7 linked regions of the Mus musculus genome follow. Each later gene encodes a partner of the first gene's protein in a complex. Links are inferred from orthologs where the notes say so. Each region holds a gene or a part of one and is shown on either strand. Other genes may lie near its edges. The genes, in order: Snrnp40, Cript, Sf3b2, Ppil2, Cd2bp2, Snip1 and Snrpg.

Region 1 (3,201 bases):
ATGGAGGAAGAGAAGCAAGAAGACATTACAAATCAGAAGATGTGAACTGGGCATGCTAGCATATTCCTGCTCTGAGTTCAAGGCCAGCTCGGTGTACACAGTGAGTTTGAAAACAACCAGAAATACATAATGAGACCTTGTCTTGAAACAAACAAAACCAAGAGTTTCTAAGCATGTTCCCAAAGGGAACCCTGAGCTGTGCTGAAAGCTATGAGCTGGGGAAGAGCTCTGCTTACAGGCCTCTACACTGAGCCTCCAGGAGTCATGGACAATCCTCTGTCCTTGGCACTCAGAATCCCTACTGCATCTGATTTCCTCCCAAGGGCACAGCACCACAGACACCAAAGCCAACCTGTATCTGACAGGTGAATTCTGCCCTGTTTCCCGTTCACATAACGCCTTGAGCCACACAGGAAAGTCTAGTAACTTGGCAAAGATGGAAGTTACTGAGCCCACTTCCCTCAGCGATGTTGGCACTTTCCACTGAGCCTGGATCTGGCTCTGAGTCATCTTTAACACTGGCAGCTATGACCAAATGTTGGGTTGATACAAGGGTGGATTTTTTCAAGACAGGGTTTCTCTGTGTAGCCCTGGCTGTCCTGGAACTCACTTTGTAGACCAGGCTGGCCTCGAACTCAGAAATCCGCCTGCCTCTGCCTCCTAAGTGCTGGGATTAAAGGCGTGTGCCACCACGCCTGGCTACAAGGGTGGAATTTGATTGTCACTTCTGACCTAGGAATTCATCCTTGAAATAGCAAGTCGGAATTCAAGCCATCTACTAGCAGTACCCTGGGTTTACAGAGGATGTCAAAAGATCGCCTGACTGTGAGAGGCATTCACAGGGATGTCCTAACATGTCTGTCTAAATGTAAGGAGGTAAAATACTAATAAAAGTTAGAAATATGAAGCAAAGAGCAATGTGTCATGGGAGGAAGGGGGATGGGGGAAGGGAGGAGGGAGCACTGAGAGCACCATGGATAGCTCAGAGAAGTAGCAGAGCGTTTACTGGGAAGACAGTCTAGAGAGCAGAGAGGGAGGCATGAGAGGACAGCCTTTACTGTATGGATGATGCGAAGAAAGCAGAGACACTGGGAAGACCACGAGTCTCCAACAGATATAAACAGAGTCAATTCTCTAGGCCTAAAAACAAACAGAAAACTCTATGTTTGGGTTATAATAACCTTTTATTTTCACATGGTTTCATCTCTGAGAGGCCCTCAGTCACGTGGGCAGCTGTACCCATTGTCTTCACACCCAGGCTTTAGATGTGCGGCCCACACAGCCACCTTGATCCCACCTTACACCCGAGATCCTTACCTGTCTGCTGAGCCAGCTGCTATCTTGCTTCCATCTGGAGACCAGGAACATCTCAGGAGGTTCTGGAACGAACAGAAACCCCATGAACAGTCAATGTGCCAAACTCTTCTTGTTGCACAAGGGTCAACTGACTTCATTTCCTACCAGACTGTCGTCGTCAGCCCTCACACTGCTGCTCAAAACAGCATGCTTTGTAATTTCATTTATTTGTCTTTAAATATTTATCTTATTTCTAAAAAAAAAAAAAAAAAAAAAAAAAAACTTATTTATTTATTGGTTTTTCTAGACAGGGTTTTTCTGTGTAACAACATCCCTGACTGTCCTAGAATTTGCTCCGTAGACCAGGCTGGCCTCAAACTCATAAAGATCTGCCTGCCTCTGCCTCTCGAGTGCTGGGGGAATCAAAGCATGAGCCACTATGGCCTGGTTTTCCTTATTTATTATTAATCTAAGTGTATTACTTTAGGTGATTTGACTGCAAGTATGTTTGGGCACCACATGTGTGACTGAGGAGGTCAGATACAGACGTCACATCCCCTGGGACTGGAGTTACAGACAATTGTGAGCTGCTCTGTGGTTACCAGGAAGCAAACCCTGGTCCTCTACGAGGGCAGCCAGTGCTTTTAACTGCTGAGGCAACTCTCCAGCCTGCTTTGTGATTTTATAACACATAAACACTAGATGTAGAGATGCTTAATCTAGTTATTAAGAACAAATCTGTCGACAAAAATTTGTTCTGCCTTTAAATGAAGGCTCCCTTAGCTCCATTTCCTTGATTCTATTAAAATATTTAAAAAATTTATCTTGTTTTTATTTTTCTTTGCTATTTATCTTGAAGAAAAACAAACAAACAACAACAAAACCCCAGCAAACACAGAAATAAAATTTATTTATAAAGTAAAGCAGTATTGGTAAGCTCCCAAAGGGAAGCCACTGACATCTCTAACAAGCTCTCGACAGAGAAGCTGTCTTCAAAGGAGCTGCCTGGGACACCTGAGGGCTGGGGAAAACGCTCCCGAACCCGAGCCGTGGCGATGTAAGGGGACAGATACAGACCCTGAGCTCTAACAGCTGCTATCTGAGTAACAGTGACGGGGCCTGGATTGAGATTCCCAAGGGATTAAAGGCCAGGAATGAATGCCCTGTCAGGGAGGTACTGAAGTCAGAAGTCTAGGAATGAATGAGAATGGGCCCCAGCGCTGGCTATCTGTGAGATTGTCTTCTCTTAATACACCACACTAATTTTACTTCTGGCAAGAAGAATGGTGAGCCAGGCCTGAGGGCAGCTCCTGTAATCTGAGCACATGGGAAGTTGGTCAGGAGGAAGGGCAGCTTTGGTGAAGAACTAAGTCATTCTTAGTGAGTCAACAACTCTATCCTGAGCACCGCTTTAAATATTTCTTCAAATCAAACGCACAGTAAAACCAACCCCCGTGGCAAGCCCTACTCACCTTTTCAAAGTTGTGGACATTTCCTTGAAATATCTTCACACATCTCTCTTTGGGAGCAAATGGCCGGACATCCCAGACACGAACTACAAAGCAAATCCAAACCAGTCAAGCAGCAAACACAACCAGGGCCAGCAGCTTCCACGTTAATAACAAAACTGTTTCCTGGGGGAGGAGGCCTACCCAACAGGACACAATGCTAACTGCGAAGGCTCCTTCTTTCCTTCTCCCAGTACGCACAATCTACACTAAAGCCCGGGCCACCACGACCGTCCTTCTCATTAAGCTAAGGGCACAAAGGAGAGCTGAAGAAGCAGGAGGGGCAGATGAGAAACAGTTGGGGATTTGCAGCAGAATACAGTTAGATGTCTGTCTGACACAGGCACATACACGTGTGCATACACGCACACACGTGCACAGCATTCAAACACACACC
Region 2 (4,193 bases), on another chromosome or scaffold:
TTATTGTTCAGTCTTAAAGTAGTGCTTTGACAATGCCTACACTCTTTTTGTATGTGTAACATCTGTCTACTTTGGTTTTTTTTTGTTTGTTTGTTTGTTTTGTTTTGTTTTTGTTTTTCGAGACAGGGCTTCTCTGTATAGCCCTGGCTGTCCTGGAACTCACTTTGTAGATAGACCAGGCTGGCCTCGAACTCAGAAATCCGCTTGCCTCTGCCTCTCAAGTACTGGGATTAAAGGCATGCATCACTGCACTGGGCTTTGCTGTATGCGTTTAATAAAAAAAAAAAGTAAGGCAGTCTAAATTTGTTTGAGAATGTAAAACTTAGATGTGGGAAGGAAATGTAAACACAGACTTTACCAATCTGAATCAAATAGACATACATTGAAATAATAATTTTACTACTTCTTGACTATATGAGGAATCCGTACATGTAACTCAGATGATGAAGAAAGATGTGCACTCCCAGGAGAACCGAGCCCTCGGTGTTTACTGGGCAAGGTAATCAGCATCTAACACTGCACTGTGCAAAATGTGACGCACCAGAGCAGGGCCACAGCGCTTGACCCAGCTCCTGTCTCCTAACAGCAAACAGTACCTGTGGTGTTCCGGGCACCATCTTTCCATGTGTCTGGAGTGATAACTCTGCCGAGTTTCTTTTCACCTGTGGTCGCCAAGACAGCAAAAGAGAACAGCTGTCATCTAATAAGCAAACTGTGTGGAAATAAAATAACAAAACCCATTTCTTTGCTAACTTTACAATAATAATTTAAAATGATAAATATATTGTATCGCCTAAAGTACATAACGATATGAAGTCAGATTATAGGAGGAACCTACTAATGCCAGGGTAGAAACCAATGAATGAAAACTTAAGATAGTAACAGTGGGCAACAGATACTGGTTCTAAATAAAACTTACAGGACAAAACGATGCTCTAGTAACAGGCTTTAACTGATTATACTTTAAGCAGTTCTGACAAACTTATTCATTCCTCTCTCTCACATTCTCTAATCACCTAGTCTGTACAAAGCACCATGCAAGGTTCTGATGAAAACAAAGCAATTTAAAATGATAAATATATTGTATTTATATGCTCCAAATGGACAGTTACTTAGTACTGTTTAAGTAGGGCACTGTTCAGGGTGGAGAAGAGCACTGGATGCTCAGTGGTATGGATGTGCCAGCTGAGGCCAAACAGTCCTCAAACACCTAACAGAACAAGGAAAAGAAAGCACACTGAAACCAAACTCCCTGGAACTCAGTAAATGCACAACTGGAGAACACGTACGTGCCAAGTTCTAAGAGGTAACTCTAAAAAATTGGAGAAAAGTAACTTTCTCGAATAATGTGTGATACAAGGGAAGACTGAACTGAGGCGGCTGCTGACATTACAGCTTCTGTATGCAAGTACCTCAGTTTACTTACGGGGTGCATGCAATGAGCAGACAGACTGAGAGGCTACAGATAATAAGACCTTAGATTTCTCAGAAGAGCAGAGGAAATGACCTTTCAGGGCACAGCACAAAGGACGGCTTCACAATCTAAATACATTTAAGCCACATTTAATTAACCATTTATCCCACTTTCGAAAAGAATAAAAAACCGTTTAAGAATGGCACAGCTCTGGAGGGGTGTCTGTGTCCAGAGTTCTACATACTGAGGGGCTATGAACAAAATGGGTCCTGTATATCCGCCAGTAACTGAGATGTGGGTTGAATCTTGTCAGAGAAGGCTGTCTAGCCCATGAAAGAGATCAAGAGAAGAAAGTTGTTTTTAAACGAATCATCAGCTTTTGCAGCTACCAAAAAAAAAAAAATTAAATATTTACAACAAATCTTAAGGGTTTCATTGGAATTACTGAATGGTAACTAAAAGGGTTAAAAAGACCTTTCTAAAAGCCAGGGGTGACTACTTAAAGATTTCTTTGGTGGTGATGAGACTCTCTCCTTCACCTGACCCAAAGCTGTGAGTATTAATGAATTGACGGGATGGCTCAAAATATCCAATTTAACTTAATTTCAGATAGCCACTGAAGTAATTTTTAAAATAAAATCTAGCCGGGCGGTGGTGGTGCACGCCTTTAATCCCAGCACTGGGGAGGCAGAGGCAGGCGGATTTCTGAGTTCGAGGCCAGCCTGGTTTACAGAGTGAGTTCCAGGACAGCCAGGGCTACACAGAGAAACCCTGTCTCGAAAAACCAAAAATAAATAAATAAATAAATAAAATCTGTATTAAATGCGGCATGTTTTGTAGTAAGGAAAAGCAGAAAGTCAAGATTTAAACATTATTCGGGACATATTAATAATACTGGAAATTAACCATTGCTTATAATCTTAAGATGTAACCGAGAGCCTGGAACTTATACTTGTGACATCTGTCAACTCTTGATGCTACCAGAAAGATCGTGAAGATCCGATTTAAGCCTCCGAGAGCCAATCAAGAAGTTGTAACGGAGGAGACCCAGAAGGGGCGCGAGGACGACAACAGAAACAAACACAAGAGGCGCAGAACTGAAGCCATTCTCAACACAGAGCGGAAGGCTATGCTTACGGGACAGGCAAGAAGGGCCGAGGGGCAGGGTAGGAAGACACCGGTTACGCCACAGACCAGCAGGGGAAAACCAGAGAAATCCCGAGAGAACTTCTCAGCCCTCCACCTCCCCCAGAAGCAGCCCCTGAACTTACACTTTTCACACACCATCCTTACATGGGGGTGTCCCTGTGCCCTCAGCCGGCAAAGCAGGAGCAGCAACCCAAACACAACAACGCCCCAGCGGAGACGACTTCCTCTTCCGGCTACGTCAGCCCGCTTCCGGACTCTCAGCCCTCCCGCTCCGGCCTATCCCGTACCTAGAAAGTCGCGGGAGGGATAAACGCGAGCTGATGGGCGGGGCTGCTCTCATTATCCCGCCCCTTCTCGTCAACGATTGGCTGTGCGCTTGTGAGTTCCCCCCGCCCCCTCGCTTTCTGGTCTGCGCCTGCGCCAGGGGCCATGCCAGCCTGTAGCACCTGAGGGTGGGAGGCGGTGGTGTCCCCCTTCCCTTCGGCGGGCGGGAGAGTTAGGTAAGCCGGTGGCGGGTTGCTTCTCACACTCGCCCGGGGCGGGTGCAGGTCGCACCGCCGACCGCTGCGGTGACTTCCAGGGCGCCACGCTTCCGGCGGACCAGAGGATGCCCTGCGCTACCGACCCTCTGAGATGCCGGCGTCTATCACAGTCTCTCAGGGGACTCCGACCTCAGGTCACCGGGTCGGCCGCACGGGCTCTCTCTATGATGGCGACCTCCAGTTGCCCACACTGCGCCGTCCGAGGCTGGGACGGAGCCACCTGGGTGGGGTGGAGCTGCGGTCCGCACCTGAGCAAAGGCTGCTCAGGAGGAGGGCTCGGGAGCAGCCAAGCCTTCCGACCCCGTTCTCACGGGATCGCGAGTCCCGAGGGCGGCTTCCCAGGTGTGGTGTCCTGGGTCGGGGACTCGCTCGCCGGTGTCACCTTTGCGTTTGGGTACCGCTCGCGCTCGCCGTGTTAGATGGGTGTTTGCCGGTGGCCTAGGATGGATTTCTGATCGCGCTTCCTGCCTGACCCCGCAGTGGAAGGGAGAATCTGAGAAACTTTCCCCAAGTCTTTTCACGGCTATGCGTTCTTGTCCCGACCCTGGAGGATTTCTTCTTGTTTAAAGAGGCGATGCTTGAAATGGCTTGTGCGTGTGTAACCTTGGCCGTATCTGCTAACTTGTTCATCCAGTTTTCTTAATCAGTATCATTTGCTTTTGAAAACGATAAGTGTGAATGAAATGAGGGCTAATAGCACCATGCCCAGACTTGCGCTTTTACCTTTCCTGCTAGTTCCTCACCCTGCGGTGTGGATGTTACTTTTTGGGCCCGATTTTTACTACATTGTAACATGTGTTACTTTTAAGTTCTTAATTAACTTTAGTCAGTATAACATAGAAACTGTTCTCTAGGTCAAATATATGTATTTAGAGACTGGAAACTATTGTTTCTCCTCCCACTCGCGTTCTGCTATTACCATTATTTAACATCTGTACAGACAGTGTGAGCCCTTAGTGTAGCATAATGACCATCTTAAGATGGTCCTCCACCATTTGCATATCTAAGTGTATACTTGGCTGTCATTTGGGAACTGCAGTGATTTTCGCCAAAAAAGTAAAATTAGTTGCTGGTGTCTGGCACATGTC
Region 3 (3,988 bases), on another chromosome or scaffold:
CATCCACAAGCAGGGCACACATAGTGTGCTAACTCCTGGACTACAGAAAAGATGGAAGCACTAGAACCTATTTGGTTATCAGGTAGCCTCCAAGGCAAATTTGAATGAAGCATCTTGGTTTGGACATTAAATAATGTTAAATGGCATCCTCTGGATAGAGCAAGATGTCAAGTCAGAGAGAAAAACATCACCGTCTTCCAGTACCCCAAGAGTTCATGTTGCTTCAGTGAATCTCACACTAGCAGCAATAGGGCCCAGGCCAATCTGCCAAAATACTGGCTTCCTGGGAGTCTAACTATACCTACGTTCTAGTCTTCAACCAAGACCTTCCTAAAAGGCTTGGCCTCAGGGTCTAGCTTTCTCAGGCTCCATTTCCCCGTCAGGGACCTAATGTGTCCCAGGTACAGGTTTCCACCTGTCCTACCTGCTTGGCACGCTCCTCTTGCTGCATCAGCAAAGCTGCCTGCTGCTGTGCCAGCTTCAGCCGTTCTTCTTCTGACAGCGCCACAGGCTCACCCACTCGAAGAGGTGGTGGGGGCCCCAGATTTGGTGGGTGAGCCATAGGAAAGCCAAGGCCAAGGCCTGGTGGAGGTGGTGGAGGTGGTGGAGGAGGCTGTAGAGGGGGAAGTCCCATAGGTGGTGGTGGCATAGGAATCCCAGACAGCTATGGGGAAAAAAATACAGCTATGAATTAGAAAGCATTTATTCAATTTATAAGCATTTGCTAGAGACCTAGCAAAAGAGCCAGATACTAGAATTTGAAGTCTAATGACGTAGGATTCAAGAAAATACACCATAAAAGAATCAAAAGATGCTAACTTTAGCACACTGATCAAAGCTATTAGCTTCTCTGAAAAAATATGAGGAACATTCATATTACATTTTGCATTCAATTTAAGGAGGTACAAGGACACCTCTAAAATCCATACAGGAACTTCACAAAACACACATACACAAACACACCAATAAACTCCAGGTCAAAGCCACAACTTTAGAGGAAGAGAAACAAATACTAGAATCAGAAAGGACTTAAAGAAATAGGAACTAGGGCTGGATAGATGGCCAAGCAGTTAAGAGCTGCTCTTCTATAATATCAGGGCTCAATTCCCAGCACCCCGATGGAAGCTCACAGTTCTGTAACTCCAGCCCCAGAATGACCCAACGCCCTTCAATGGCCTCCTAAAACACTGCATGCACGTGACGCACAGGTAGAAACTTGGACAAAATACAAATTCAGACAAAACACTTATATACATAAAAATAAGTTAAAAAAAAAGTAATAACCAACATTCCAAGGCATAGGATATCTACGTTGTACTAGATGCAGGGAGTATATTATTCAAGTCAGGGCATTATCCTTTACCGTTTCAATAACTTTGGGAGCTATACCTGGCAGGAGAAAGCATGACCACTTCCAGCTGAGAAAGGATCAAGGAACATTTCCAGATATTCTAGTGGAATCTTGAGTGATAAGTCAAATTTGGAGGAGTAGACATTGGGGATTAAAACAGTAGCAGCACTAAATCAGAAGTGAAGAGGTCACAATTTTGTCTCCTTAGACCTCACCCTTAACTTACGGTCCCATCTGCTAGCTCAACACATGGCTATCCTGAGCAGAAAAGATCCTCGAAGCAATCTCTTACCTGTGCTGACATAGGAGGAGGAGCCGCTTTGTCCCCATCTTCTCCTCTCAAAACTGGTCGATTCAGGACAATGCCCGTCTACAAGAAAAAAGAGAGCTCTAGGTCAGACTACAAGGACGTATTCCATTACATAACCTCCTCTTCCATTTATTTACTTAACAAAATGTACCCAGTGCCCACTTGACAGAGACTGGGGCTGGAACCTGAGAAAAGCAACAGGAGTAGAAGTAATTACAATAAAGCAAAACCAAGAACTGACAAAATGGTCAAGAGCCGGCTTGCTGCGTTGAAGTACACAAAAAAGACCTAGCCCGGTGTGCTGGAGCACTCGGAAGGCAAACGCATTAGGATCTCTTAAGTTTGAGGCCAGCCAGGGCTACACTGAGAAACCCTATCGCGAAAGAACAAACAAAAAAAGTATATGAAACGAAGATCCAGCCGCGGAGTGGTGGCGCACGCCTTTAATCCCAGCATTTGGGAGAGGCAGGCGAATTTCTGAGTTCCAGGCCAGCCTGGTCTACAGAGTGAGTCCAGGACAGCCAGGGCTATACAGAGAAACCCTGTCTCAAAAAAAAAAAAAAAAACCAAAAAAAAAAAAAAAAAGAAAAGAAAAAGAAAAAAGAAAGAAGAGAAGAGAAGAGAAGAGAAGAGAAGAGAAGAGAAGAGAAACGAAGATCCATCCGTGAGTAGTCTTAAAGGCCTCCAGGAAAAGTGAGACCTAGCCTGCACTGACAACACTCACCTGACGGGTGTAGGTCTGCAGCCGCTCTACTAACTCCTCGCGACTCCCTATAGGACGAAGCACAGAATCAGGGGGTCAGCATCACCTCGAGCAGGCCAATTTGGCGAGGTCAGGTCCCACAGGCCTGTCTCCGCCCCCCGCCCCGTGGGTCTCCTGGGTAACCAAGCTCCACTTCGCCACAAGCCCACGCAGGGCCCCTCTCGACCGCCTCTGCGCCTCACCCTGGATCGGCGCTCCTATCTCTGCCAATCTGGCCTGAAGCTCCTGCGCAGCCCAGGCTCCATAGTGGCCTGGAGGTGGAGGCGGTGGCAACTGCAACTCTCCTTTGGGAGGTTCGGGATGCTCCGCCGCCATCTTAGCCACAAGAAGGCGCGAGACCAACACGGAAGCTCGGGTCAGCCGCCGGGCCTACTTCCAGAAACTTCCGGTTGCGTAATCCACGTCCCGCGGTGATTGGAGAGAACTTGGTCCAAACACACGCCCTTTCCCTTACCGGGGAATAGGAATCGCCGCCAACGGAGGTTGCAGAGCCTTCTGGGAGTTGTAGTTTGCGGATGCGCCATCTAGAGGACGAACGCTCGCTATGACATCCGGTATGCAGCAGTAGTAATACATCCGCTGCCTGGCTGCAAGAGCTTACTCTACCCAGAGCAGATGCATTCTTCTTCTCTCCTGGCCAAACACATACTAAGTCTTCTGTCCCGACACCCTTCAATGATGAGAGACCTGGGTGCTTATTTCTCCTAGGAGCTCATAGAGATTCCTTTCCGGCGCCCGAATGGGAGGTTGGTGCCGATGGCTCTGATAAAACAGTGTTTGTCTGCTCACTCCCGCCCAGGCGTGCTTGAATGGGCTGAAAGGGGATCGGAGCCGGTGGAGGAACGGACCGCCAAGCTGAGTTCCAGCTGCTGACCTGGGGGAAGGGCACTGCTAAAATAAAATCCCCTTTTGCACCTTCGAAAAAGTCTTAAATAAATGTATTCTCTGTCAAATGCTTCCTTCCCCCTTTCGAGGAATGTTCATTAATACATTTTCCACCTTTCAGGTGTTTTATTATATGTATATGTACCGCTTGCATGCCTGGTATCTGTAGAAGCCAGAAGTGTCAGATCTGGAACTGGAGTTACACTTTTGTGAATCGAACCCAGGTCCTCTGCAAAAGCAACAGTGCTCTTAACACCAATTCTCAAGCCCCAAGGTTTTTGTTGTTTAAGACAAATGTGTCCATATGTGGCCCAGGCTACCCTAGAACTTCTGATCCTTTGCAGGCTACAGATATATACTATCACACCCGATTTCATGGAGTGGAAGATCAAGAGTCATGTAGTTCAGACTGTCTTGGGACAAAATCGAGCCCAAGCCAACCTCTAGCTCTTGGCAATCCTCCTGCCTCTGCTTCTTGAAAACTGGGCTTACTGCTGCCAGCTAATCCATTGTCTTTGTTTCATTTTTAAGTCTTTCCTGTCCTTTATTCCCACCTCCATTCCCCCAAACAGGATCTGGAACTTGATCTTCTTCTATCTTGAAGTATTTAGCATCCAGGAGGCAGCTAATAAATGAGTTGGGAGGTGGGGGTATCTAACCTGGGGACTTTATATTCTTG
Region 4 (3,500 bases), on another chromosome or scaffold:
TGGCAGTAAGCCAAGTGTGGTGTAAGCTTAGCTACTTGGGAGATGTATGAGAATGGGAAGTCATTTGAACACAGGCCAGGGCACTACAGTGAGACTCCCCCACCCTCTGCACTCACCAAAGAAATCTGTGCACAGGGCTAAGAGGGCATAATGATGATCCTGGACAGTGACGTCATTGGGGTAAATTGTTCTATTCAAGTATTTTTTTATTTTTTTATTTTTATTTTGCAAATTTTAGAAAAAAATGTAGGATGTAAAACAAGCTTAGCTGGAACATGCAACAGGGTGCAGTGCATCAGAGTGCAATGCAGGGGACTCTGCATCTCTCACCATGCAGAGACCATCCAGCACACCTCTACTGCACATCTGTAAGCAGCTGGCCTCTAAGACAGGGGGGAGAAGGACTCACTCCACTGCAACAGCATCTGCCAGCTAGTGCTGCCTGAGGCCTGGTGGTCCCTCCCAGTTACCAAACAGGCTCACCTAGATGTCATGAGATTTCTAGGGACAAGATTTTAGTAACTTTGACCCTGCTTAGAGCCACAAACTCTATATTCCTTTCTCTAATTGGTATCAAGAATCCTGTCATATTTATTAAGTCAAAATTAAATATAGAGTGCTGGGGAGACAACTTAGTGGATAAAGGACTTTCTCCACAGCACAAAAGCCTGAAATTTGTATTCCATCCAAGAACCCATGTTAAAGCCAGACACAATGAGGCTGAAGAGATGGCTCAATGGTTAAAAGCAATGACTGCTCTTCCAGAGGTCCTAAGTTCAATTCCCAGCAACCACATGGTGGCTCACAACCATCTGTAATGGGATTTGATGGTGACTACAGCTAGTGTACTTAAATAAACAAACAAACAAACTAACTAAAAAAAAAACCAAAAAACAAAAAACTAAAGAAAAAGAAAGCCAGCTAAAGACAGCACCTATCTGTAACTTTAGTGGGAGCTGGAGGCATTGAAACAGGTGGAACCGGGAGCCTGCTGGTCAGCCAGTCTTGCTGACAGTGCCAAATTCACTGACAAGGTCTTGTCTCAAAAAAATAAGATGAAGAACAACAGAGAAAGCCCCATGAGATTGACCTCTGGCTTCCACATATAAATGTATCTGAACACAATTGCACATACACAAATACCATGCACCTGGGTGGGCAGGCACACACACACACACACACACACACACACACACACACACACATAAAAAGAAATTTAAAAATTCAAGAGTAAACTCACAGCAAGTCAAAGACGACACCTTCTGGGGTGCAGACTGGGTAGACAAAAGGCTGGAGAGAGAGACTGAAAAGAACAGAAACCCCTCGTCAGCTTCTAGGCACACTGAGCATGCTCTGGGTCCCACAACCTGCTCCACAGTTCTGAGTACCCTCTGTCCCTGACACCACGTCATAAGGATAAGCTGCTGTCCCAGGAGCTGCCTTAGTACTTGAGGCAGCAGCAGCCCACTTCATGTCACATAAGAGGTGCCTCATGATGGCCTTGAGGAAGCAAGCTGGGATTCCCTCTCCAGACCCTCATAGAGCAGTCAGACTAAGCTTCGCCCCGGGGCATCCTCCCCGTCCCAGGGTTTAATGAGGCCCCTGTGGTACTGTCTGTACACCACCCTGACGTATGCTGGGCACATGGACTGGGGTGGAGGCCTACAGCAGCCTCAGCTACCACAGCTACGCTTCACATGTGTCTGCAGCTGTGAGCTGCCTGGGCCACTGCTGATCGCCCTTTCTTGGTCTCAAGCCTTTAGTTCTAGTGTTCTCGAGGCAGAGGCACGTCAGTCTTTTTAAGTTTAATGAGTTCCAGGTCAGTCAGAAGCCAGAGCAGAAAACAGACCCTACCTTAAAAAACAAAACAAGGGGCTGGTGAGATGGCTCAGGGGGTAAGAGCACCCGATTGCTCTTCCAAAGGTCCGAAGTTCAAATCCCAGCAACCACATGGTGGCTCACAACCACCTGTAACAGAGATCTGATGCCCTCTTCTGGTGCGTCTGAAGACAGCTACAGTGTACTTACATATAATAAATAAATAAATCTTTAAAAAAAAAAAAAACAAGCACTAGAGAGATGGTCTAGCAGTTAAGAGCACTGACTGCTCTTCCAGAGGCCCTGAGTTCAAATCCCAGCAACCACGTGGTGGCTCACAACCATCTGTAATGAAATCTGATGCCCTCTTCTGGTGTGTCTGAAGACAGCTACAGTGTACACACATATAATAAATAAATAAATCTTTTTAAAAAATCTATGCAAATATGCAAGGATGGCAGCCTATAATCCTAATACTTGGGAGGTAGCAGCAGGAGATTCAGGAGTTCAAGGTCAGCCCAAGCTGCAGTTAAAACACACACACCTGTTTTGGGAGAAATGATACTCAACCAAAGCCAAGGGAAAACAGAAGGATTTGAAGCTCTCACCTGCAGTGGTCAAAAGGTAAGCGGCGAAAACTTGTCTGTGAGATATCTGTTAAAGATGAAATAAAAAACAGATAACCTATTTGGAAAATATTTCATCTATGTATACCTACCATTAAAACTACATTACTACAGCAGGCATGGCGATGCACTCCTTTAATCCCAGTACTTGAGAGGGAAGCAGAGACAGGTGGAACTCTGTGAGTTTGAGGACAGCCTGGTCTACAAAGCGAGTTCCAGGATAGCCAGGACTGTGCACCCAGAAACCCTGTCTCAAAAAACAAAAGACAAAGCAAACAAAAACAAAAACAAAGCTATATTACTATGAATTAAATTTTTTATTGCTGTTGTTTCGAGAAAGAAGAATGTATTATGTGTTACTAGAGATCAAACCCAGGGCCTTATATATGCTATATGCTAGTTTCATCACTGAACTATACCTCCAGGCCCTAAATTAAGAATCTTTTGGTAGTTGCTAGCCAGTGGTGCCACTCACCTTTAGTCCCACCACATGGGAAGCAGAGGCAGGCAGATCTCTGCATTCAAGGCCAGCCTGGTATACAATGCAAGTTCTAGGACAGCCAGGGCTACACAGAGAAACTCTATCTTGGAGAAAAAAGAAAAAAAAAATCTTCTGGTAGGGTTCAGAAAGATGGCTAGGCAGTTAAGAATATATTCTGCTCTTATACAAGACTTGAGCTCAGTTCTTAACACTCACATGGTGGTTCACAACTGCCTGTAACTCACCAGGGAACCTAACACCTCTGGCCTCTAAGGGCAGGTATCTATTCATGCATGCACGCACACTCACACACCTCAAAATAATAGGTGCTAGAAAAATGGCTCAGTGGCTCAGTGTACTTCACTGGAGGTAGAGACGGAAGCAACTTACTGACAAGCCAGTCTAGCCCATCATTGAGCTCTAGGTTTAGTGACAGACTCTTGTCTCAACACAAGATGAGCTGAGAAGTGAAACACACCTTTAATCCTAGCAGTTGGAGGCAGAGGCAGGTAAATTTCTATGAGTTCAAGACCAGCTCAATCTACATAGTGAGTTCCAGGGCAGCCAAGGCCACA
Region 5 (4,142 bases), on another chromosome or scaffold:
GGGGCGAGGGGTAGAAAAATCAGACTATGGAAGAAGAGAATGCATGTTTAAGAGAATCTCTCAATAGGATTTCAAGGTCTTCCCAATGTCCCAGCTACAAGGGAGCTGCCAGGACAGAGCATTTGAGGTCCTAAAAGTCAAAGATCAGCAGAACAGGGACTTGCAAGGGAGACTGGAGAAAAGAGTGATGGAGGGAATTTTACACAGCAAGTAGAAGTTGTCTACGTAGGAAAGTCACAGGACATCTGATGGGCCCTACCTCTGCCTCCAAGGGTGGGAAAAAAAACTGAGGTGGTCCAAGACACCAGAGAGAAGCAAGTGAGGAAGTCTCTCGGGAAGAAACGCTCAGGGACCTACCAGGTGAAGCCAAAAGGAGCTATGGAGAAGCCCTGGCTCTTGGCCATCGCACAGTCAAGGCTTTTATTGGGAAACAATGGCTTTAAAGTGGCCTCCAATATCCTCACTGCCCAGAGCAGCTGGGGCTTCCTCTGCCAAGTTCAAGAAAGAAGGGGCTGCCGTGCCGCATGGGGCCCTTAGCGGGCTCACGTGTACAGCTCAAAATCAATGCGCTTGGAGTTGTAGAACTGGCCGCCCGGAGGGTCCAGCTTCCGACAATAAACACCATCCGGGAAGTAACCTTCACTCACCCACGTCTGTAAGAACAGAGGACAGAACTCAGGCAAGCTGACAGAAGGTGGGCTGGACAGATGGGACAGACGCGGCAGGGGGCAGCTCACCTGCATCTGGGCACTGGTGAAGGGTCCATACAGCTCGGCGTCCCCCGTGTTCTCCCATTTATACTCCCACATCACATCCATCAGGCCATCTCCTGCTGACTCTGCCTCTAACACAATGAACGATACTTGGGCCTCAAGCACTCAGTCTCCAGCCCACACTGCCCCCCACCCGTGCCCTCCAAACTTACCCTCTCTTTGGGTAGGGGTTGGGGTTTCCAGTTCACCCTCTGCTACTTCCTCAGCAAACATGTCCAGGGAGGGTGGAGGTGTGGGGTCATGGGATCCCTGGGCCCGACACCCCAAACCCTTCAGTCGCATAGCCAACCGTTCCCTTGTTTCCTGGTACACACCAAGGTTGCCTCGTGCCACCATTTGGTCAGCTAACCCAGACAGCCGGTCTAGCCGCTGGGGGGAATTGGGCCGTCCAGTCCCCTTGCTGTTGCTCCCTTTGCCTCCTCCTCGGGCCCCCAGCCGCCTAAGGGCCCCAGCCACTGTCTCTCTTGGCAACAACAACTCCAAAAGTCCCTCCAGGAGTGCTTGGGCGCTCATTGGAGTCTGACCCAGGCTGTCTTCCTCCTCCGAGTCTGAAACCTGGTGCTTATCAGGGGGCCGTTCCTTGATCCTCACCTACAAGGAAAAGATAATTAGAATTTCTTACAAACTTCCACCAGGGCCCAGGCCCTGCACCTGCACTCCCAGGCCTCAGCCAGAATAGTCCCTGGGCCACACCCAGTCAATGTTGTCCAGCCAGCTGTCTCGGATCTGCGCATCCTGGTTCAGGAAGTAGTTGCCATCAGCATCAAAGTGGCCTTCCTCCATCTCTTCCTGCAGGTTGAAGGGTGTGATCCTCACACCGCCCTCACTAGGGAGAGTAGCTGCTTCCTGACCTGCACCGAAGACATTGGGGGTGGGGCATGCTAGACACGCAAAAGGGAAGCAGGCACACCTCCCACCTCCATCCTGAAGGCTTGTCCCCCCAACTCAGTTAACGCTTCGGACATAGCTCACCTTCTACATCCTCTGAGGCCAGGATATCATATTTGCTGGACCCTTCCTCATCATCATCCTCTTCATCACTGTCTAAAGAGTGCTTGCCTTTGAAGCGGCTCCCAGGACCACCTGCTGCAGCCACAGGGTCCACCAGCTGTGAGGAGGCCGAAGCAAATGAGAAATGCAGCCAACTGGGTAGTTCCCCAGATACTCCAGGATCTGTACACAAATCTTTCCAAACCCAGTGCGCCGGGGAAAACTAACACTTCCTTGGCTTCCCGGCTTTCCTCCCATCAGATTTCTCCTTCTTCTTTCCTCTCAGTCCTCCACGGAAATTCGAAATCTGGCCATCTCACCTTCTTTTTGGGCACACTGATTTCATCTTCACCATCCTCATCTCCAACACCCTGAAAAGTCACTTTCCTCTTTGGCATGATTGGCTGTGGATTTCCTCCAGCTGGACCTCGGAAAAAGATATGTAGTGAGGAAGTGAGGTAAGGAGAGAGGACCGCGGGGGAGTGCAGGGGCCACCAACATTTTTCCTGGTAAATGTGAGCGAGGACAGATCGCTAAAGCATCTGAGAGAACTAGCAGGCACGACGTCCGGGGTTGGTTGGGCAATTCTGAGGCCCGGAGGAGAGGCGATGGGAAGGATCTCCGCCCCCGCGTGGACCCTGCGGGTATTCCCACCCGGGGATGGGGAGTCAGGTTCCCCTACGTCACCACTCCCCTACCAGTCCGGAGCTACCGAACTCAACCACCTCTCCCACCCGAGTGCTCACAGAGGCCGGTCGGACCCAAGAGCTGGAGCTGCCTAGATCCCCGAATACCACGTAGCGACCTGCTCGGCCATGTCCTTGGCGTACAAACTAAAGGCGAAGCAAACCCGCGGGGATTCAAACAATCTTACCCGCCGGTGCTCACCTAGGAACCCAGGGTCAGGCGGGGAAGAAAAGGAAAGATGCTTTCGCCGGTATTACATCCGGGGCACCCGCCTTCATCACCCGGAAAAAAACCGTGGAGACCGGCATAGGACCCGGAAGTGGCTTCACTTCTATTCAAAAAGGGCGGATGCATACCATTAGCCAAGGCCGACTCGCGGCAGGAAGTGACGCAAGACCTGCAAAGACTCGCGTGAACTACGTCCTTGCCTCACGGGACTTGAGGATGGCGGGAAATGTTTTATTATTCCTCTACGATGGAGGCTACAGTGAGGATAAGGACGTGGTGTGCTAAGAGGTTCCCAAGGCCTGGATGGAGAGGCACAGGCCGAACAGAGGCTTCGGGCTTCCGTTTGCATGTATGGATAGGGTTCTGTACGCCTAGTGGCCTTCAGTAGACACCCGGGCTTCCGATCTTAACGCAGTCCCAACACTCGGGAAATTGAAACAGGATTGATTGTCGCGAGATTGACGACAGTCTGGGATACAACATGAGACCGTCTATTTTTAAAGAAAGTCTTGCTCTTCTCTCTGAGTCCTGCTTCTGATTATAAGCGCTCGGGCACCTTCCAAACCAAGCCCTTTTAGAACCCAGGAGTCATTTGCACCATGTCTATTCTCCCACTTAATTCCTAGTTTCTGTAGCGGGACAACCATCACAGGAGGTGCCACTGGCTTCCGTCCGTGGCCTGTAACCAGGCAGAAGCCCATCAGTTACACGAAGCCTACCTCATCCCTTAGCAAACTGCCAAAGGGCTGGGATCCAGCTCCTGCAAAGCTGGGGCCAGGTGAGATCTTCCCCAATAGTGAGGTTTAGATCTGGAGCTCTGGGGAACAACTCAAACCTCAACGCCTCCACCCCCGTCCCCACCCTCGGCTAAATAGCTCCGGTGATCCTACTAGAGTTGGAAGAGGGCAGCCAGATGGACCACGCCTTTCTCCTCCAGGGTTTTCTCCCATTGTGAATCATGAAACTTCACTTCTGTGGGTACAGAACACAAGTTCTAGACCAGGAGGGCATCTTGCTACAGACAGGACCCTGAAGAAAGCAGCTCTCAGCACTGCTGGTTCATCCGGAGGGGGTTTTCTCTACCTGGAGACCACACACCCTGATCCCCTTTCTGCTGAGAAGTGCCAAGTGGAGCTTTACGGCCACAGAAGCCCACACCTTTATCATCCTGACCCGGAGTAGAGGGTGTGTGGCAAAGATCTAGCCACAGAAAACAAGAGCTGCGCAGTTTGGTTGTGTGTACCTGCTGGGATGAACCCCAGGCAGTTAGTCTACCCTAGACGCCCAGGGAACTGCACCAAGCTGCTGACCAAGAACCCAGCCCAATCTAAAGATGGTGGTTTTGCACACACTCTCAGGCCCCTCCTTCAGCTTCCAGGGGGCTGAAGCCATTGGAAAGGCGATCCCAGTCCTGCAAGCTGTGCAGAGGATCCCAGGAGGCCAGTGAGAGTGGGAGCAGCAGAA
Region 6 (4,169 bases), about 5.3 Mb from region 1:
TCTTTTCCATGTGACTTTTCTCATCTTAAATTTGTCCTCTAAGGTCATAGCTAGGCTTCTTGTTCTCTTCTCCCAACCTCCATCCCTGTCCCAATTCCCTTGGCTGTCAGCCCCAGCAATCTGTCCCCTGAAATTCCAGAGATCCTCAAAGCTGGGATGTCTTTTCCCCATGGGAGTTTGTAGGATCTCGCGTCCCCTGAGACGCCTGTTCATACCGTGGGGCTCCGTTTCTCTGTATTCCGGCTCACCAACACCGGGGTGTCATATTTGAGCAGAGAGTCTGCTGGGGGTATCATGGTGGCAGTAGGGGTAACAACTCCGTAGCGGCCCCTGTGGAGTCTTGTTTGCGATCACCATGGAAACCCCTCCTCTCCTTGCCCCATGGATGGGGCGGGGCCTCTGAGGAAGGCGGTGCCGGCCGCGTGCAAGTTTTGTTCTACTGTGCTTTCTCCGCAAGCACTAAGTTTCTTAGTAAAGAAGACTGGACCCCTAGCGTTAGGTCTGTTTCGGTTTATGATGAAATGGACAGACCACCTTTGATTAAAACGGAAGTCATCTAGTGACTCTATAGAGTATTTGGCGACGATTGGCATTTGGAAGCCAGAGGCTGGCAGATCTTTGTGGATTCCAGGACAGCCAAGGCTATATAGAGACACTATTTCAAGAAACAAAAAAGAGTTTCACATTGTTGAGTGTCTGTGTTTCGTAACTACTAATAACGCGCAAGGAACAGAGCTGGGTTAGCTTTCCCACAGGTTTTTTTCTTTTTTCAAAAAAAAAAAAAAAAAAAAAAAAAAAAAGCTGGGCGATGGTACCACACACCTTAATGACAGCATTTGGGAGTCAGAGGGAGGCAGAGTTCAAGGTCAGCCTGGTTATAGAGTGACTTCTAGAACAGCCAGGGTACACTGAAAACCTGACTATGACGGGGGGGGGGGGAGATTGTCATATATATTTTTTTGAGGTTCTGGGGACTAATCCAGGGCTTCGTACTCGCGAGGCAAACGCTCGCTCGGTAACTAAGCTACAATCTCAGCCTTCCCTCCCCTTTTAACTCTTGATTTCTATTTGGCGGTGCTGAGGATGAATTCAGAGCTTTGCGATCTATCCGAGCTACAACTTTTTCAGATTTTGAGACAGTTTCACTAAATTGCCCAGGTTGGCCTCGAAATTACTGCGATCCTCCTGCTTCAGCCTCCCGGGGGGTTGGCCCTGCCTTTTCAGTACTCCAGCCACACCTCCCAGCAGCGGGGACCCCGTGGCCACTCGCGCCGGCGTCCCCAGCGTCTGAGACTCAAACACCTGGGGCCCCGCCCATCAGGGGGGCCGACACCGTGAAGGCTTCTGGGATAGCGCGCTGCCCGGAAGCGGAAGTGCAAAGCTGTCCGTCACTTCCTACGGCTCAAGTGGCTCAACGGACCGTGCAAGTGACTCTCGGTCGGGCCGCAGGATGAAGGCGGGGAAAAGCGAGCGGGAGCGGAGCGGCCGGCGGCGACACCGGTCAGGCGACGCTCTGACGACCGTGGTGGTGAAACAGGAGCGTCTGAGCCCCGAACCCGTCGCGCACCGCCGGCCCGACGCTCCAGCCGCTAGCCTGTCCCCGCCCGCCGCCGAGCCTGGCCACTCGGGTCACCGCGGGAGCCGAGCCCGGTAAGCGAGCCGGTGATTGGGCGGAGGACGGGATGGCGCGGGGGCCGGTGGTGCGAGCGGCTCTGGAGTGCAGAGCACCTGTTGAGTTGAAATGAGATTTCCCCCGCCTGCCCGCGAGTGGATGGTGCGAGTGGCTTCTCCCCTCGTCTGCCTACAAAGACACGTTGGGTCTTGGCGACTTCTTCGCAGCACTCATTCGCCAATGCCTCCATGTGGCATCGATTTATTGAGTGCGTAGTGTGGGTTAAAGATCAATTGGAGGTACTGGGTCACAAGGCAAAGAAGAGAGATGCTTTTTCCTTGGCGAAGTTGGGCAGGCTCTAACTCGAAGAAGGAAAACAACAAATAGATAATTTCAGTCAGTATTAAAGACAGATCAAAACGGCAGTGTGGTAGCGAGAGGCTGGGTAGAAAAAAGAGAGGGCTTGTACAGAGGTGCTCCTTAACGGAGACCTGGCTGGTAGGATTGATCCATTCTCTTGAGTCAAGAGTCTTTTAGCAAAGACTCCAGGAAGGACCAACCCACTGTGGTCGGGCATGCTTGTAACCCAGCAGAGGGGATGCTGAGACAGGAGGTTTCTGAGTGTATACACACAAACACGGCGCGTGCACGATTATGACAGAAAAATATATACATAGAACCTGAGCTGGAATTCTGTTTGTTTTAGAAGTTGAACAACAGCAGCAACAAAAACAAAAACAAAACAGCCAGCATATCTGGAATTGAGAGATGGAGCAGCATTGTAGGCTGGTAGGAAGGATGTGGGATGGAGGACAGGGCAGGGCCCTGAGACCTGCCAAGGGATTGGTTTTGGTTGTTGGAGAAGGGAGTTGTGTTAGGGAAAAAACCAGGCTAGATTGGCTTCCTGGATAGTAGTGCCAGATAGTAGGATGGCGCATCCGGAGAAGAAAGGTTTCTGAGGCGTTGGGGTTGGAGAATAAGGTTGTCTAGGTGAGAAGGCTTAGCAGGCCATTGTGTATGTGGTTGGGAGAAGTGTTTATGGGAAGTGAAGGCCTGCTGTGGCTACTGATCTCACAGATGTGTTGTGTTTAGTAGGTGAGCCTGATCCTGGAAGCTAACTTACTTTCGGGAAGGAACTTTGAGGTAAAAAATCCTGTGTACCATTCTCTGTAAAGGTCCCCAGCCAAGAAGAAAAGCAAGTCCTCTGGGAGAAGAAGCAAGTCACCACGGACCAAGAGAAGCCAGAGTCCCCACTACCCCATGGTCAAAGTGAAGCAGGTGAGTGAGTGAGTGAGTGAGTGGGCAGGGACCATGGGTGGAAAGCTCCAGCCCAGAGCTGTTGCTGAACCCCAAGAGGTTGGCAGCCAGGTGTGGACATGCTTCCTTGTCACTGCAGTGGGCTTTTCTAAAAATGGGATATGTATTTGGGGCTGTTTTTCCTGAAATTTTAACGTTTGGAGACAATTGTTGATTTGATTCTGATAACTCTTGTCAGAAATAATACGGAGAGATGTACATATCCATGTTTCTCTCAATGGCAACTTCTCGCACAGCTGGACAGTGTCGTGGTCAGGACACAGACGTTTCACCACCATCAAGGTGCCTCATGATGTCTGATACTTCTCCGCCTTTATCCTTCCTTACCTCCTGGCTGGCCGCTTCTCTCTTTCTATTGTTCTGGATGCACACTTAAGCCCAGGGTCTTTAGGTTAGAAGATTGTCCTTGGTGCTGTTGAAACCAGCACAGATGGGTCACGTTGGGTCTGTGAGTGCCCATGTGCTGTAGGACCAGTTTTTCTTTTTCTTTCTTTTTTTTTTTTTTTTTTTTGAGACAGGGTTTCTCTGTGTAGCCCTGGCTGTCCTGGAACTTACTTTGTAGACCAGGCTGGTCTCGAACTCAGAAATCCGCCTGCCTCTGCTCCCGAGTGCTGGGATTAAAGGCGTGTGCCACCACGCCCGGCTAGGACCAGTTTTTCAAAGGACATTGGTTGTCTCCATTGAATTATTTTACTCCCACATTGAAACTCAGTCAGGTATATGTCTATCCATGCAGACTCGATTACTGCACTTGCATAGTAAGTCTCAAACTGAATGTCCTCTTTGCTGCATATGAGCTGCCATGTGGGTGCTAGGAATTGAACCCAGGTCCTCTGGAAAAAGTAGCCAATGCTCTTGTCTGTTGCGCCATCTCTCCACACCACCCTCCTCTTTTTCTTTTTTTCCTTTTAGCTGTTCTGGTTCTTTCGTCTCCATCTCTATGTAAATGTTCGAGAGTGTGTGTGTGTGTGATAAAAATCTTTTAAAAATAGTATTTTTTTGCATGTGTATGAGTGCTTTCCCCGCCCCTGCATGTATGTGTATGCACTGTGTATGTCTGGTGCCCACAGGGTCCAGAAAAGAGTACCAGAGTCTCCAGAACTTGAGTTAAGGCTGGCTGCAAGCCACCTCATGGGTTCTAGCAACTGACCCAGCTCCTCTGGAAGAACAGAAAGTGCTCTAACTGTAGAGTTACCTTCTAGATTCCTTAGTAACATCTCGAAAGAGGCAGGTGTTGTGG
Region 7 (4,088 bases), on another chromosome or scaffold:
TTTAAGACAGTGTTTCTTAGCTACCCTGGTTTTGTAGTTCTTTGCCTCAGCTTCTCAAGTAGCAGACATTACATGCCTATGCCACCAGGCTGAGCTTCATTGAATTGTTTTTTGTTTTGTTTTGTTTGTTTTGGTTTTTTTTTTGAGACAGGATTTCTCTGTATAGCCCTGGCTGTCCTGGAACTCACTCTGTAGACCAGGCTGGCCTCAAACTCAGAAATCCACCTGACTCTGCCTCCCAAGTGCTGGGACTAAAGGCGTGCACCACCACTGCTCGGCTGCTTCACTGAGTTTTAATGTATAGACCATGATAGAATTTAAATATAAATTTAAGCCATAAGAATCTGAAGGTGGAAATAGATTTATAAATAACATTTATAAATTACTAGGAGTTATTTTGTAAATCAACAGAGGAACATATTTAACACTTACGATTCCGGTACTATTATTACCATGTTATACAGATGGAGAACTGACATTCAGTGTGGAGGTTGAATGAGAATGGCCTCCATGGAGTCACTTATGTGCATGTTTAGTTCGCAGCTGATTAAGTGTTTGGGAGGATTAGGAGGTGTGGCCTTGTTGGAGGAGGTGGCACTGGGAGTGAGTGGGCTTTGAGGTTTCAAAAGCCAGCCTAGTGTCTCTCTGCCCTGCCTGCTGCTGCGGTTCAGCATGTAACGCTCTCAACTACTGCCTGCCTGTTCTTCCATGATGATCATGGCCTCTAAAACTGTACGCAAGTCCCCATCAAATGCTTTCTTTATTATAAGAGTTGTCTTGGTCACGATGCCTCTATACAGCAAGAGGTCAGTAACTGAGACACTAATGTGCAGAAAATTGTTTTTAGTCATATACCATGCAAAATATGGCTGCTGGACTGCAGATGGGGTGGGGCTTCAAAGCTGGGTTAGGAAGTCTGGACTTGACTTTGTGGTGATATAAACTAGTATAGCAGAATTCATCAGTGGTTAAGACTTTCTGTGGCAACACATTTTAGGAGTTGGGAGGAGCTCAACTTTGAAACTACTGAGACACGGGACCAGAAATGATTAAGAACTATGGAGTTATGCTAAACTAGGAGTGAATAGCTGTAAAAGGAGGTGTTTATGAGAAAATAAGGAGGCGGATCTAAAAGTATTTCAAATTTGATAAAATGTAGGGATGAGAAAAAGGCATCAACTCAGAGAAGAGAAGTTCAGTGACAAAGTAGCTCACACAGGCTCTGCTCCAAACACGCCAATAAAAATATGGACACAATCACTAGTTCCAGTCTCTGAAAGGCCCAAGTATATCTGTTAAGAATCAGAGGACACTGAAGATTACAGGTAGGGAACAGTGCTTTTGTTCAAAACCAATGCCATTTTGCCAATTCCTGCTAAATCCAGACCTCATTTATTAGCTCATCATCAAAACAAACAGTGCAGAATAACTTCTTTTTAAAATGTCAGACTTATGGCTTAATACATCTTTATTATGTTGTGTTCTGCCTATAGGCCTGCAAGCCAGAATAGGGTACCAGATCCTATTACAGATGGTTGTGAGTCACCATGTGGTTGCTGGGAATTGAACTCAGGACCTCTAGGAAGAGAAGTCAGTGCTCTCAACCTCTGAGCCAACTCTCTAGGCCCGGTTTAACAGATTCAGATTCAAACAAAACTGCAGGGGTTTCACACAGAGGGCTTTGATTAAAATGTGCACTCAAATACAAAAATCAGCAAATGTTGTTATCTTTCCCCTGCATTGGGGTCTTGACAGAACTTTACAGTAGCAAACAGGCTATACACAAGACAGATTATTTTCTGGCTACACCAGAAAAGACCCAGTATTAATCTTGTATTGAGCAACCCAATGACTATGTGCATATGCGACAGGTTCAGGCCAGTCAGAAGTGTCTGAGACCAAAGGGTCTGTCTGATTTTACTGGGTACAGAATAAAATTCTTCAGAAATTAGCTCTTTACAAGTAGAAAATGGATGTCCTTCCATGGATTTATTGCCAGAGCAAGATATTACACAACGTTTAAATGTAACTTGAATACAAGGACAGTGTATCAGAAACCTAGTTCTTGGGGCTGCAGATGGCCCAGCGCTTATTGCTTGTCCAGAGGACACGAGTCCAGCTATTATTAACCACGCCAGAGGGCTCACAACCTCCTACAAGTTCTGTTTCTGCAGATCCAATGCCCGCTTTGGCCTCCGCAGGAGCTGCACCCACGTGCACAAACATATAACTAAACATGTCTCTGAGCACCAAAAAGGGGAAAAAAAAACCCCAAAACTAAACCTAGCTCTCTTGATGAACGCAAATGAACGCGCACATTTATTGAAACACAAAACGCTACCTCACCTTAAACTTTTTGAGACACAGTGTCTTTTTTTTTTTTAAGCCTAGGCTGGTCTGGAACTCGCGGTAATTCTCCTGCCTAAGCTTCCTGAATATTGGCCCCATAGATCACAGCCAATCACGTCCGACTCCAATCGATCATTTTAAGCCCACGAGTCTCCGGTTCCTCACAACCATGCACCTCGACCGCTGCCCTGGTCCCCAACCAGGTTGCCTTTGGCTGCCCGCCTAGGAGAGCCCCAGCTTTGGGAAGACAGAGGCACCGGCACTGCAGTAACCATGCCGACCGGACCTTAGCGCCACTTCCGGCTCCCGCGACCGTCGGGACCAGCGGCGGCAGCCCGAGCGAGACAGAAGTCTCGATAGGGCCGACTCTACTCACTTCTTCAGCTCGGGAGGGTGGGCTTTGCTCATGGCGACTCCTCTGCGGGCTCGGCACAACGGCGAAGGAGTGAGCAGGCTCAGAAACGCGCGCAAGGCAGGCTTGGCGCTGGTGTCTGACGTCACCGCCGCGCGAGCCAATCGCCTTCGGAGAACATTACCTTTCATCTCGCGATATTGATGGGGATGTCTGAACCTGCGGACCAGAGCCACGCTTCCGGTTGCGTCGCCAGTGACAGGCCACGACGGAGAGGCTGTGTTCGGCTAAGCTTCCTTTGTGTAAAATTGAAGTGGCAGGTCACTTTAAAAACAGACCCCTTCATTTATATTTTATGTATGAGTGCTCTACATGTACACCTGCGCGCCAGGGGAGGACCTCAGATCCTACTATAGATGCTTGTGAGCCACCATGTGGGTGCTGGAATTGAACTCCAGAGCTCTGGGAGAACAGCCAGTGGTTTTAACTGCTGAAGCGTCTCTCCAGCCTGTGTGTCACTTCTTTTCTTTCCTTTTCCCACTTACTACACTTTTTTTCTCTTTACATTTTTGTCATTTCCCCTGCCCCTTCCTCATTGTTTTTGACGTAATTCATGCTGGCTTCGAGTTCACTGTGTAGTCAACGCTGGCTTTGAACTGTTGCTTCCCGTGCTAGAATCAACGGCATCTGCACCACGCTGCCCTTAATTTCCTAAGCACATCCAGGCGAAGCCGAGGGCTCCTGAAGCACAGAATAGCTTGTCCGCATCAGTAGCAGGAAGGTGGCTAGGCGGATTCTCTTGAGGACGTGAATCCAGTGTCTGGGGTATTTCTGATTCATCAATTCTGCAATTCTAACGCTGCCTTCAGAACCCACTTAGCACACTACAGTCCATACATAAAAGCTGAGGAGTACCACACAAGTCCTGAGGTATTGAGCTTGCCCCTGCCTCCTGAGGGCTGGGAATAAAGGTGTGCACTCTCCCAGGGTGGTGGCACTGCCCTCAGTGCACTGGGCTCTCTCATGGTAGTCATTAATGACCCACAGACATGTCCAGAGACCTGTTAGATGGAAGCAGCTCTTCAATTGAGGTTCTCCTCATGATTAGTTTGTCATCAACAAAAAAATAGCACAAGAATGCTTAGCTATACACTCTCCCCACCACTTGCTGTGCTAGTTGAAACTAGAAAACGAACATGAATAATGATAGTCTTTAGCAAAGACTGACCTCAAAGCAGGAGGGAAATCCTCAGCTTGCCTTACAGTACTGAAATTACAGTATGCACCTTTTACAATTTAGTTATAATATGTAAGTACACTGTAGCTGTCTTCAGACACTCCAGAAGAGGGCGCCAGATCTCATTAGGATGGTTGTGAGCCACCATGT

The links.
Region 2: Snrnp40 (region 1) and Cript share a complex: the UniProt entries of both Homo sapiens proteins name them as parts of the minor spliceosome. The link is inferred for Mus musculus from reciprocal best matches to the Homo sapiens genes SNRNP40 and CRIPT.
Region 3: Snrnp40 (region 1) and Sf3b2 share a complex: the UniProt entries of both Homo sapiens proteins name them as parts of the minor spliceosome. The link is inferred for Mus musculus from reciprocal best matches to the Homo sapiens genes SNRNP40 and SF3B2.
Region 4: Snrnp40 (region 1) and Ppil2 share a complex: the UniProt entries of both Homo sapiens proteins name them as parts of the minor spliceosome. The link is inferred for Mus musculus from reciprocal best matches to the Homo sapiens genes SNRNP40 and PPIL2.
Region 5: Snrnp40 (region 1) and Cd2bp2 share a complex: the UniProt entries of both Homo sapiens proteins name them as parts of the U5 snRNP complex. The link is inferred for Mus musculus from reciprocal best matches to the Homo sapiens genes SNRNP40 and CD2BP2.
Region 6: Snrnp40 (region 1) and Snip1 share a complex: the UniProt entries of both Homo sapiens proteins name them as parts of the minor spliceosome. The link is inferred for Mus musculus from reciprocal best matches to the Homo sapiens genes SNRNP40 and SNIP1.
Region 7: Snrnp40 (region 1) and Snrpg share a complex: the UniProt entries of both Homo sapiens proteins name them as parts of the U4/U6-U5 tri-snRNP complex. The link is inferred for Mus musculus from reciprocal best matches to the Homo sapiens genes SNRNP40 and SNRPG.

Annotation. Positions count from the first base shown.
Region 1 is NC_000070.6:130,384,132-130,387,332, reverse strand, and holds part of Snrnp40 (U5 small nuclear ribonucleoprotein 40 kDa protein), read right to left. Parts: intron 2,852-3,201; coding exon 2,769-2,851; intron 1,380-2,768; coding exon 1,318-1,379; intron 1-1,317. UniProt on the Homo sapiens protein: Required for pre-mRNA splicing as component of the activated spliceosome. Component of the U5 small nuclear ribonucleoprotein (snRNP) complex and the U4/U6-U5 tri-snRNP complex, building blocks of the spliceosome.
Region 2 is NC_000083.6:87,024,168-87,028,360, reverse strand, and holds the start of Cript (cysteine-rich PDZ-binding protein), read right to left. Parts: upstream 2,801-4,193; 5' UTR 2,702-2,800; coding exon 2,686-2,701; intron 663-2,685; coding exon 597-662; intron 1-596. UniProt on the Homo sapiens protein: As a component of the minor spliceosome, involved in the splicing of U12-type introns in pre-mRNAs. Involved in the cytoskeletal anchoring of DLG4 in excitatory synapses.
Region 3 is NC_000085.6:5,292,656-5,296,643, forward strand, and holds the start of Sf3b2 (splicing factor 3B subunit 2), read right to left. Parts: upstream 2,801-3,988; 5' UTR 2,740-2,800; coding exon 2,607-2,739; intron 2,433-2,606; coding exon 2,386-2,432; intron 1,722-2,385; coding exon 1,644-1,721; intron 665-1,643; coding exon 425-664; intron 1-424. UniProt on the Homo sapiens protein: Component of the 17S U2 SnRNP complex of the spliceosome, a large ribonucleoprotein complex that removes introns from transcribed pre-mRNAs.
Region 4 is NC_000082.6:17,104,753-17,108,252, forward strand, and holds part of Ppil2 (RING-type E3 ubiquitin-protein ligase PPIL2), read right to left. Parts: intron 2,473-3,500; coding exon 2,427-2,472; intron 1,304-2,426; coding exon 1,241-1,303; intron 1-1,240. UniProt on the Homo sapiens protein: Has a ubiquitin-protein ligase activity acting as an E3 ubiquitin protein ligase or as an ubiquitin-ubiquitin ligase promoting elongation of ubiquitin chains on substrates.
Region 5 is NC_000073.6:127,193,278-127,197,419, forward strand, and holds the start of Cd2bp2 (CD2 antigen cytoplasmic tail-binding protein 2), read right to left. Parts: upstream 2,801-4,142; 5' UTR 2,652-2,800; exon of another isoform or gene 2,185-2,651; 5' UTR 2,162-2,184; coding exon 2,084-2,161; intron 1,882-2,083; coding exon 1,746-1,881; intron 1,625-1,745; coding exon 1,467-1,624; intron 1,365-1,466; coding exon 926-1,364; intron 845-925; coding exon 738-844; intron 654-737; coding exon 543-653; 3' UTR 1-542. UniProt on the Homo sapiens protein: Involved in pre-mRNA splicing as component of the U5 snRNP complex that is involved in spliceosome assembly.
Region 6 is NC_000070.6:125,065,303-125,069,471, forward strand, and holds the start of Snip1 (smad nuclear-interacting protein 1), read left to right. Parts: upstream 1-1,369; 5' UTR 1,370-1,450; coding exon 1,451-1,650; intron 1,651-2,704; exon of another isoform or gene 2,705-2,787; coding exon 2,788-2,890; intron 2,891-4,169. Other genes in the region: Dnali1 (axonemal dynein light intermediate polypeptide 1), read right to left, coding at 216-296. UniProt on the Homo sapiens protein: Required for pre-mRNA splicing as component of the spliceosome. As a component of the minor spliceosome, involved in the splicing of U12-type introns in pre-mRNAs. Down-regulates NF-kappa-B signaling by competing with RELA for CREBBP/EP300 binding.
Region 7 is NC_000072.6:86,370,252-86,374,339, reverse strand, and holds the start of Snrpg (small nuclear ribonucleoprotein G), read right to left. Parts: upstream 2,801-4,088; 5' UTR 2,758-2,800; coding exon 2,726-2,757; intron 1-2,725. UniProt on the Homo sapiens protein: Plays a role in pre-mRNA splicing as a core component of the spliceosomal U1, U2, U4 and U5 small nuclear ribonucleoproteins (snRNPs), the building blocks of the spliceosome.